2 linked regions of the Drosophila melanogaster genome follow. The protein of the gene in region 2 interacts with the protein of the main gene of each other region in a pairwise test. Each region holds a gene or a part of one and is shown on either strand. Other genes may lie near its edges.

What was found. Proteins that work in one complex are often made in the same cells at the same time.
Region 1: the proteins of Mhcl (region 2) and rols interact in a two-hybrid assay, tested with the Drosophila melanogaster proteins (one study listed by BioGRID).

What each region holds. Positions count from the first base shown.
Region 1 is NT_037436.4:12,061,819-12,066,640, forward strand, and holds the start of rols (rolling pebbles), read right to left. Parts: upstream 3,042-4,822; 5' UTR 2,744-3,041; intron 92-2,743; 5' UTR 91-91; coding exon 1-90.
Region 2 is NT_033777.3:16,095,711-16,100,551, forward strand, and holds the start of Mhcl (myosin heavy chain-like), read right to left. Parts: upstream 3,052-4,841; 5' UTR 2,921-3,051; intron 1,911-2,920; 5' UTR 1,879-1,910; coding exon 1,426-1,878; intron 1,364-1,425; coding exon 545-1,363; intron 239-544; coding exon 95-238; intron 1-94.

The DNA of each region.
Region 1 (4,822 bases), on a different chromosome or scaffold from region 2:
CTTGGGCGGCGGGTTGATCGGCAGCGGCGGTGTCTGTAGCTCCGATTGGTCACCTTCCATCGCGAGCGCAATTTGCTGCAGCGAGGGCATACTGTAAAATATTTAAATATATTATTTTCATATTTAAAAGTATTTCAAAAATGGGGTTAATGCTTTTTTTATTTTTTTTAGCTTACGGTTAAAATACAATCTTAAAGTCAACAAGAAGTATGGCACTGTACATTTAAAAGTATCTTTGTATGGATTTGAGCTATAAAAGGTAATGCTTTCTTTGCATTTCTCCCCATTTACGAGCACCAGTAGCTTCTCTAAACACCACTGTACCTGACTAATGCCGCACATTAAACATAATTTGACATATGTAATTTTGGGGCTGTCTTGATTTTAACGGTCCTCCATGAAAACGCACTCGAATATGGGGATTTCCAGCGGAAATGAGTTCAGATCAGTTGAGCTAGCTAGGCAGATAAAAACACGGAGAAATACTTTGTCCCAATCTACAAAACTATCTTTTTAAACCAAATCTGATTTGTTACAATCTGATTTCTGTGCTGACTATCTGTATCTTTCCATATGAATTTAAATGTAATAAAAATGCAAAATAGCTATAGTTTGATTTCGGGCTTAGATCCTAAAATTGTAATTGTAAGTCTGTAATGGGCGGGCTTCTAGTTTAGAGTTCACTTTAGCTCGTGGCATGGATTTCTCTCAGTGTAGGTGCATCTTGAGGTGCGAGCTTGTGCTTGTGAGATAGCGATAAGCCGGGACAACTTTAATGCCACTTAATGCCCAGCGAACAGTGGGACGTGAAATTGTCCCAACATCAATCTTCGGCTCCAGCAGTTCCCACATGGAAGGAGGCAGCCCGGGGAAATGGGGCACATGGGGTACTGCGGTACATGGCAACTGCAGACATGCAGGGCACTGCGGAGCACACAGGAATGGAGACGGAAGTGTCCCCCAGGCGATAGACAACGAACTTCCCCTCGTTTTTATGGCCACATGCGCATCTCGCTCACATTTGGTGCGCGTGCGTATCTTTCTATCTTGTTCAAGTGTGAGGGTGCCCCCTGCAGCGATTCTGGTGTTTTCCTCAGCTGCTTCTTCCTCGGTGCAAGGAACTCGAAGTACAGTGGATCTTAAGTAACATGAAATCAAATATCAGAGGGTATAGTATGCACTTTCCAGGAATATTCGAACAATTACAATACCTATAATAGGTTTTAACTATGCGAGATTTTCTTAGAAATGAAAGTTGGGCTTAGCGAAGTTTGACTGTAGTTCTTTAGCAATGTCATCGGCCTCTTGACATATCCATCCCCCCTTCCTCTGCTCCCCCTAACTTTCCCCTCGACTAGGTGTTGCAATAGTTATTGTTGCTGCCGTTGGGTCCCCCATTCCATTATTTTAGATTCGCTGGGGAAAAACTAACGTTTGGCTTGTGCCACTGCCACCACAAGTTGCAAGTTGACTTTGGCAGTGCAAAGTTTTAAATAAACATTGCCATCGGTTGGTTTGCGGGCAAATTCGCTTTAGTCGGGGCTGAACTTGGTTTGCAGTTTGCTTAGGTTTGGCGATTATGCACTGCTATTTTTTAGTTTTTGCAGTTTTGTATTTAAGAAATATCTTTGAAAAGCGGCACAAAAATATTATGAATATCTATTAAAATGGTTTTGGAGCCATATAAGGTTAATATAGCTATATCTATCTAATGGCATATATGATTATATCATATTTACTATAGGGAAGTAACTTATATTAATAAATATATCTGATCAAATCATTATGCCTTCATTCTTCTGTCGTCTTTATAAATCTTACTTACATTTACTTATGTATATAGATTAGCTATTACATTTTTTTGCAGTGTAGATTTTCCACAAAACTAATGCAACAAACAAATTACTCTAGGCGACGAAAAACTACACATCCCTAAGCGGTACGAAAATAGATCGGCCAAACGATCGGCGGCGGAAAACTGGGGTTGGCGGCGCGCCGTGGTTGCATTTGTTGTATTTGTAGTTGTTTGTCGTGCGCCAAGGGGCGTGGCGCGAAGGGAGGGCGTGGGGATGCAGGGGGCTCTAGGATCCCCAGCAAACTGCATTAAACTACTTTCCGTGCAGTTTATTGCTTCGTCTGCGCGCGTTTCTACTTTTAGCTATGCCACGGCTGAGGTTGTGTGCGTGTGGAGTATCTGTGAGAGTCTTGAACTTGTGCTTCTTTCTTTCACTCTTTTTGTGTTGTTTACATCTTATTATTTTTTTTTTTTTTCATTTTTACACATTTTCGAGCCAATGGGCGCCCCATCGAACATGCGACATTTTTCAGTTGGTTCCCAATTTAAATTCAGCTGCCTTTGTTTCGGCTCGCCGCTCAAGACATTTCCACTTAAATGCCCTGGGATATGGTCACTGAACGATGCTCCCTTTTTAGGACCCGATCCGCCAGATCGGCGAGATATTGCGCATTCCACCAGATACTAGGCGACATCGAATTACTTGGGCATTACTCATTGCGCGATTATATTGAGCTTTTATAAAAAACTTATTCAGAAAGTTATATGAAATTCTTTGAGAAATGTACTAGGTAATAGTAAATTGAATGGATCTTTATGGATTTTTAAAGTCAAGCTGTTGTAGTTTCATATCCGCCAAATGATTGAAGTGCATTCATTTGAACTTTAATGATTTTAATAATCAAAAAAGTATGCTACAATATATGCGTATACATTTTTAATACAAACCTTTAATATCTTTTATAATTCCTCTGCTTGTACAAGATGATAAGTTCTAGTTGGAACAATCCTGGAATTTCAGTTTTCCCTTCCGTTTTTAAGATCTATCCGCACAGTGGATGTTTAACAATATATATTTTAGGAACTTTATGCAATCACGATTTAGGTTTTTCAATGGTAGTGCCACTTTTGTCAATATTCTTTCACATTCACTTTATCACTGATAATCCAATGTGGCAATTAATCCGATTGGCGCTGCTGTATCCGTATCTTGTGTCCGCCGTAACCGAATCCGTATCCGTACCGAACGCGCGCTGGAATGCAATTGAGACGAGCGGATTGCCGAGCTGACGGCAACTGCATCCGATGGATGCAATGGAATATCAGAAGTGAGGCAGCGCAGCCGCAACAGCGCCCTCGGCAACAGGAGGATATATACTATGCGTAGATGCTCAGATACATCCGTGCATTCGGATGTACGTGTATCTGCCCCAATGCTAACTAGACGAAGAAGCAAAGACGGCGCTAAAAATAGTCGCGGGTGCAGAACGTGAAGTCAGCGCCGGTCCATCACTTTTGTTAGATTCCGTTTCCAGAGCTGCGTTGCCCATTTGGACATTTTTCAGCCAAAAGTTGGAAAATCAAATAGTTCTCCAATCGTGCATAGAATTATTACATAATATTTTTAAATATTTTGCAAACTATAATTATACAGTTTATAAGTATTTAATTTTCTTTTATTATAGATTTAATTAACTTCATTTATCATATTATTTTAGCAACATTTACATTTCATTCTGAACATATCTGGCTTCGAAAGCAGACGTTGCGTCTGTTCTCGCTGCACCCCGCGAAGTGTTCTCGGTTTCTAATGGGATGTGCCCCATCTTTTCCCAAGAAAAGGGGGTGAGTGGGGGTGGACTCGAGCGGAGTGGAGTTTGGCAGCGAAACCAAAGTGTCGCTTGCTTGGTTGCCATTTAATTGCACTGCGATCTTGGCTGTCGGACTTTACTCTGTGTGTTTAGGGGAGTGGAATGGTCGAAGTATACCCCAAAAGTCTTAACATGGCAGAATTATGACTAAGTTTATATATCCAAATCGTTAGTGAAAGATGGGAACTGCAACTTTACAAAGCTCTAACGAGTTACATAAGTAACATTAATATGTTATATATGTACAATGATCAATAATAAGTTTTGAGATACATATGCATATGTAGGTTTAATTCCAATTTCAGGTATTTTCGATTTCCATTTATACATCAATTTTTAAATGTATTTTAAATTCACTGTTTCGTTTTATTATAAACAACTCGTAAATTGCAATGATGCAACACCTGTTGGAGTGATTAGCAAATGCTGTCATTGGCCACAGATTACATATTATTTTCTGCGTTGCTGCATTCTTTTCCAATTAGCCTAGATCCCGGTGACTGTACCTGGGAATCCAGAACCACCTAAACCACAACCCCAATAAGCAATCCTGAGCCGGAGTTCAATGCCCATAGGGTGAGATTTTCCAACGCAACGGCAACAAGTCTGCCGCGCAGGACGGGATACAATTGCAGTTCGTTCAACCCGGAGGCCAAGGATGAGCCGAGGTGAGCACATGGGGCTGGCATCCACGGATCTATGCGACGGAAATGGACTAATTTTTCATGTTTTGAAATTGGATGACAGCGACAGGAGGACACACTTCCCGCGAAGGCGGCGACGCATGCGCAGTACGGAACGGAGTTCGTCGACCTCGCGGATCGAAGATACAAGATGCATCCGTGTACTAAGTAGTTATAGTTACGCACGGATTGTATTACACGATAGATGAACGCTTCGCTGGAACTGCTGCGCTCAGGCGCTGGAATTTCGGTGATTTTTCCTAGCAACTGTTTCAATTTCTCGCTTTCCCCGTATTTATCTTTGCCCACTTTAATATCACTTCCACTTTCCACCGTGCGACTCCCATTCGTTCTCGTCCCCTTGGTGTTTGAATGATTTGTGACAAATGGTCGGCCTGCTCAAGAAATCCTCTTAATCTTGGAAGATTACTCGAGCACTCCACGTACTGATAAATTATTGTGGGAACCTCACA
Region 2 (4,841 bases):
GGTTTGGTTCGTTGCAGTACTGTGATGACGGCCTGCCTGGTCCATCAATCACGTGTGTAAGCTAGACCCACTAATGGATGCGATCTCGACTCACCTGACGCTTGAAGCGCTTGCTGGCACTGCGTCGCAGGGTATTGCAGTTGCCGTTGGTAATGGAATGATCGATCTCCTCCACGGTGGCTGTGCTGGGGGCCATGCATCGCTTGCTCAGCTCCACCAACTCAGCGACTGGTTGGACCTGGGTGGGTGGCAAGGGATTCAAGAATATTAGAATTTTACAAAGTAAAAGTTTACCAGCTAAATATTCCTATAATAACCAAATAACGCATTTTATACAAAACTCCGACGTAGAGGGATTGCTTATGATGAAACAAAACATAATCACATATTAACAATTCATGCAAAACTTTAACAAAGTTGTCAGGTATTTACCTGTGAGCCATAAAATGAAAGGTGTTCTTATCATATCTTTTCTTATCATACTTTAATTCTTATTTTAGCGTATGCACATAAAAGGAATTAGGAAATTCTTAGAACAACATACCTCCACGGTGACAGCCTCTCCGCTGTTCCGTATCATCTCAATTATGATCTCCCGCGGCAGTTCCCCAACCGGCGTGCCGTTGACCTTGATTAGGCGATCGCCAGGCAAAAGACCTGTGGCTCCGCCACCAGCACCTGGCTCGGCGAATATAACCGGCCTGAAAATGGGCGAAGTCAGGGACTCTGTTCTGTCCAAACAGATGGCCTTGCGCAGGCTAAAGCCGAAGTCCTGGCGCGGAGACTTCTGTCGCCTGATCACTAGCTGCCTTGGTGGGGGAAGTTTTACTAGCTGCACTGGCGGCAGCGGCAGCTCCACATCCTCGAAGGCATGGACGCGGGCCCAACGGTCGATGCCTTGGGACTCGCCGACGGGACTCAGCGAAAATGGGGGTGTGGCGAAAGAGGAGTTTGTGGTATCTGTGAGACTGTCGGCGCTGGGCGACGGCGAGGTGAGCACATGGAGGTGCGATCCTTGACTGTTGCCCTGGGGTAAAGCTCCATAGCGGGCGTTGGCCGGCAGGGTCATGGCCCGTTGTTGACCTCCTGTCTGCTCTCCATCGCTGCGCAGGCTCTCCACGGAAGTGAACGAGGTTCCATGCTGACTGGAGTTCGAGCCGATCGAACCAGCTCCCCTGGCAGCTCCCTCGTAAAGGGATTCATTCTGAAAGGTGTTGCGCAATAGCATCTCTGGCGTGCCACCTGCTCCTCCGGCACTACCCGCAAAGCTAATCTCCTCGTGGACATTGGTCATATTACTGCGGGAGCCTTTCAGAATGCCACGCTTGGGTGGTTTTGGGGGTATAGGTGGAAGAAAGCGATTCTGGAATGTGGAAGCAAAGTTTTTCAATACGATTTCGGATAAGAAAACGACAAAGACCTCACCTTGAGCCCTCCAGAGAGGAGAGAATGTGTGACCTCGCTGTAGTTGACACTCACGCCGGCGCCATTGGACGCTCGGCTCTCGATGTGCGTCATCACAGATGCTACAATCTCCTCATTGCCACGATCCTGCTCGGGATCTGCAGCTCCCACTGCTCCTCCGTTGCTTCCGCCGTTTGCATCTGCATTGAGGGCGGCAAAGAAGTCTGCGCTATAGTCCGCCGTAATTCCGCTCGGCAACTTTTCCTTCTCCTTGCGTCGCCCTCGGATTTTAAGCGATCGGCGCACCTCGTCCAGGCGGAGCAGCTCGTCGGTGCTCATGCTGCCGGTGACGCCAGTCACGCCTCCCATTCCCGGGCCACCAGAGGTGCCCTTAGCCTCTTTGCGCAGTTTTTTTTCGCGCTTGCGACGCTCCTTGTCCTCATCCCCAGCGCTCTTCTTCATAAAGTTGAACATCTTATGTGGTGTGTGGGGTCCTTAGGTGCTAGCTGCGGAAGGGGGGCGTTGGTGGGTTAATGCGAAGTTCAAGGGCGTGACCAAAAGTCTGGACTAATTCGATTTGCACTGTTCTCTTTGCTGCGCTCTATCCAGGGGTGGATCTAGACAAACGTGCAGGGCATACCGTTCATTTCCAAACTTGAAATTACAACTTACATTTTTAAAATCAGTAACACAATTTTAATTCACTGAATAGTTTAAAGTACGGTATTTATGTGATTTGATTTTACAAAAACATTTAAGGTGCCCATAATCCACGTTTAAGGTCCCCTGGATTTCGCCCCTGTACTGCTCAGTCCTGTTCTCTTCGTATTGCTATCTCGCTCTTACAATTGCACAGCCACTTCGAGCAATGCACCCGCCCGCACAACAACCGTTATCTTGCCACGGTGTTTGTGTGAATGTGCACATTTGCAAATCACATAAACAATGGCATATTTCTTCACTTTTGCACCCACATTTCTTCTGCTGCGGTGGCGGCTTTACTTTTGTCATTGAGTCGTTGCCATTTGCCCTGTTTCTGTTATTATTTATTATTCAATTATGCGCTTTCTTTTCCACAGCTAGCATACATTTGTTTTGTTTTCACACGGTAACACACACACACACAAAGAAAGGGGGGCTCGTGGCTGCGTTGGTATTGATTGCTCGAGACTGCACTCTTCCCTTCTCTCTACACCATCTCTTCATATTTTTCATTTCTCCAACTAATTGAATGCAACCGATTCTGCCTCATTACTTATGCTCATGCTTTTCCAATTGCTCATATTCGGCGAACGCTCTTATTCGGCCACAGCCCACAGTGATACACACGATAGGCAGAAAAAGAAAGTTGAGAGTCAATAACACCTTTGTTTTTGCACTTTTCTACGCCTTTTTTGATAACACACACAAACATTGGGAGGGACTCACGCACACACAGTCGCGCTGGAGTCGTTATTTGTTTATTTGAAAGTGGCATGCTATGTTCTCCCTTCCGATTGGGTTGCAAGTTATTTACCTCGTTTTGTGCCAATGGGGCACTTTATTCGCTACTCGTTTTTTGTTTTTTTTTCGGATTCAAAGGAGACTTCGCGTTCTGCATAAACAAATCTGAGCAAGAGTGCCCAAAGAGGTGAATATCAAATTTGATCTGGGAAACTGGAAAAGAGAACTGACTTTTTCTAGCTACTTACACATGGTCATACTTATCAGAGTATCTACTTAGTGCGGACAGGAACCATATATAAAATTGATAGGGCTTCCAAATTTTTGATCAATTATGCTTTGAAAAGTTATAACAATTTGTCGATATAAGAAATAGTTTTGTATACATAGCATATAAAATAAAGTTTTTAAAAATGAATTTAATAACAATACAGCATTATTATTAATCTGCAGTTCATACATTCAAATTTGAAGTGAATTCTAGTTAAAGAGTCGGCCTAGACAGTCAGAAAACAGAACTATTGCCTTCTAAAACATTTAATTTAAATTTAAGGGATATTTGCGCGTTGTACAGCTCTTAAATAATGTCTCTCTCTGGCATCTTTCCACCGTAACAGTCGCCTAACTATCGCTAAAACAGGTGGCAACGCGGATCGAATCAGTTATCGAGCCAGTTATCGAAAAAAAGTGAAGCGTAAAAACTAAACGGTACTTGGAAAATTTACTTTGCCTGTGTGCGTGCTTCTGTTTATGAAAACTACGTTTTTAAGCATTTGCAATTGATGCAACGTTGCTTTGGAAGGCAAGAAAACACCAAGTGGAAACGCCCGGGTGGCGGAAATCGACTTCCAGTGCGCGAGTGCGAGATTGTGTGTGTTTCGTTCCGTCCTCTGGTGTCTGGCACCTTAACACAACAACAACTACAGCAGCAGCAGCAACAACAACAATAGCAAGCAGCAACAACAACACACGCACAATAATAAGAAGGCCTGTGACGTTGTCGCTGCCGTCACCATCTAAAGGAAAATACCAAAACGAGTAGGAAAACAAACCGCAGTGCAGTAGGGAAAGCAAAAGTCGGGTTTTTTTTTTTACAAAACTAGGTGGGTTCTTGTATTTTTCACCAGCATTTCCACAATTTCCATTTCCACGAAGTGATTTGACATGTTGCGCTGCTAGGTCGCCGCTGCCCACACACACTCGCACACTCGGTGGTTCACTCACTCAGCCACTCACACCCACACGGCCAGACAATCACACGCACACGGCCAGACACTCACACATACACTCACACTCATACACCTTTGTGGCAGACACGCGTACTGTCTGTCTCCCTCCCCCTCGCACCCACAGTCTGGCCTCACTCGCACTTTGCAATGCAGCCCTGTCTGTGTGACTGCCTCGGTGTGCGAGCGCCTGTCCGCTTATGCCTGTGTGTGTATTTTGTCGATTTTTATTTTATGTACATTTGTTTACAGTTTTAGATAGATAGCGACATTTGTACAGCCGGCGGCCATCCGTCGTTGACATTTTCGCAAATTGTAAATGAATATGCTTTTGCTTTTGCAGTTGTGCCAGTGTGAGTGCGAGTACGAGTGCGAGTGCCGCCTGCGAGTCCCCTGTATGTGTACATATGTATATGTATGTATTATATATGCATATACATAAGTTCATGAACAGTCGCCGCCGTCGACTTGTTTTGATTTAATTTCGCGCTAAATGCAATCGCGAACAATTTTCACTCGTATCGCCGTGTCGCTGCGTAACATGGCGGGGAATTTCGTTTGAAGCCGAAAGTGGCAGCAACAACAAGGCGACGATGGCGCCTACATCTGCATGTGGGCCAGTGACTAAGAATCCAATCCCATACCATGCCACACCATACCAACCCATCCAATTCGATACAATCAGAATCACAGTCCTCAATCCAATTCAATCCCTTTCTGGCGACGGAAATGCCGCAAATGTTTTGCACCAGCTGCTGACGCAAGCGC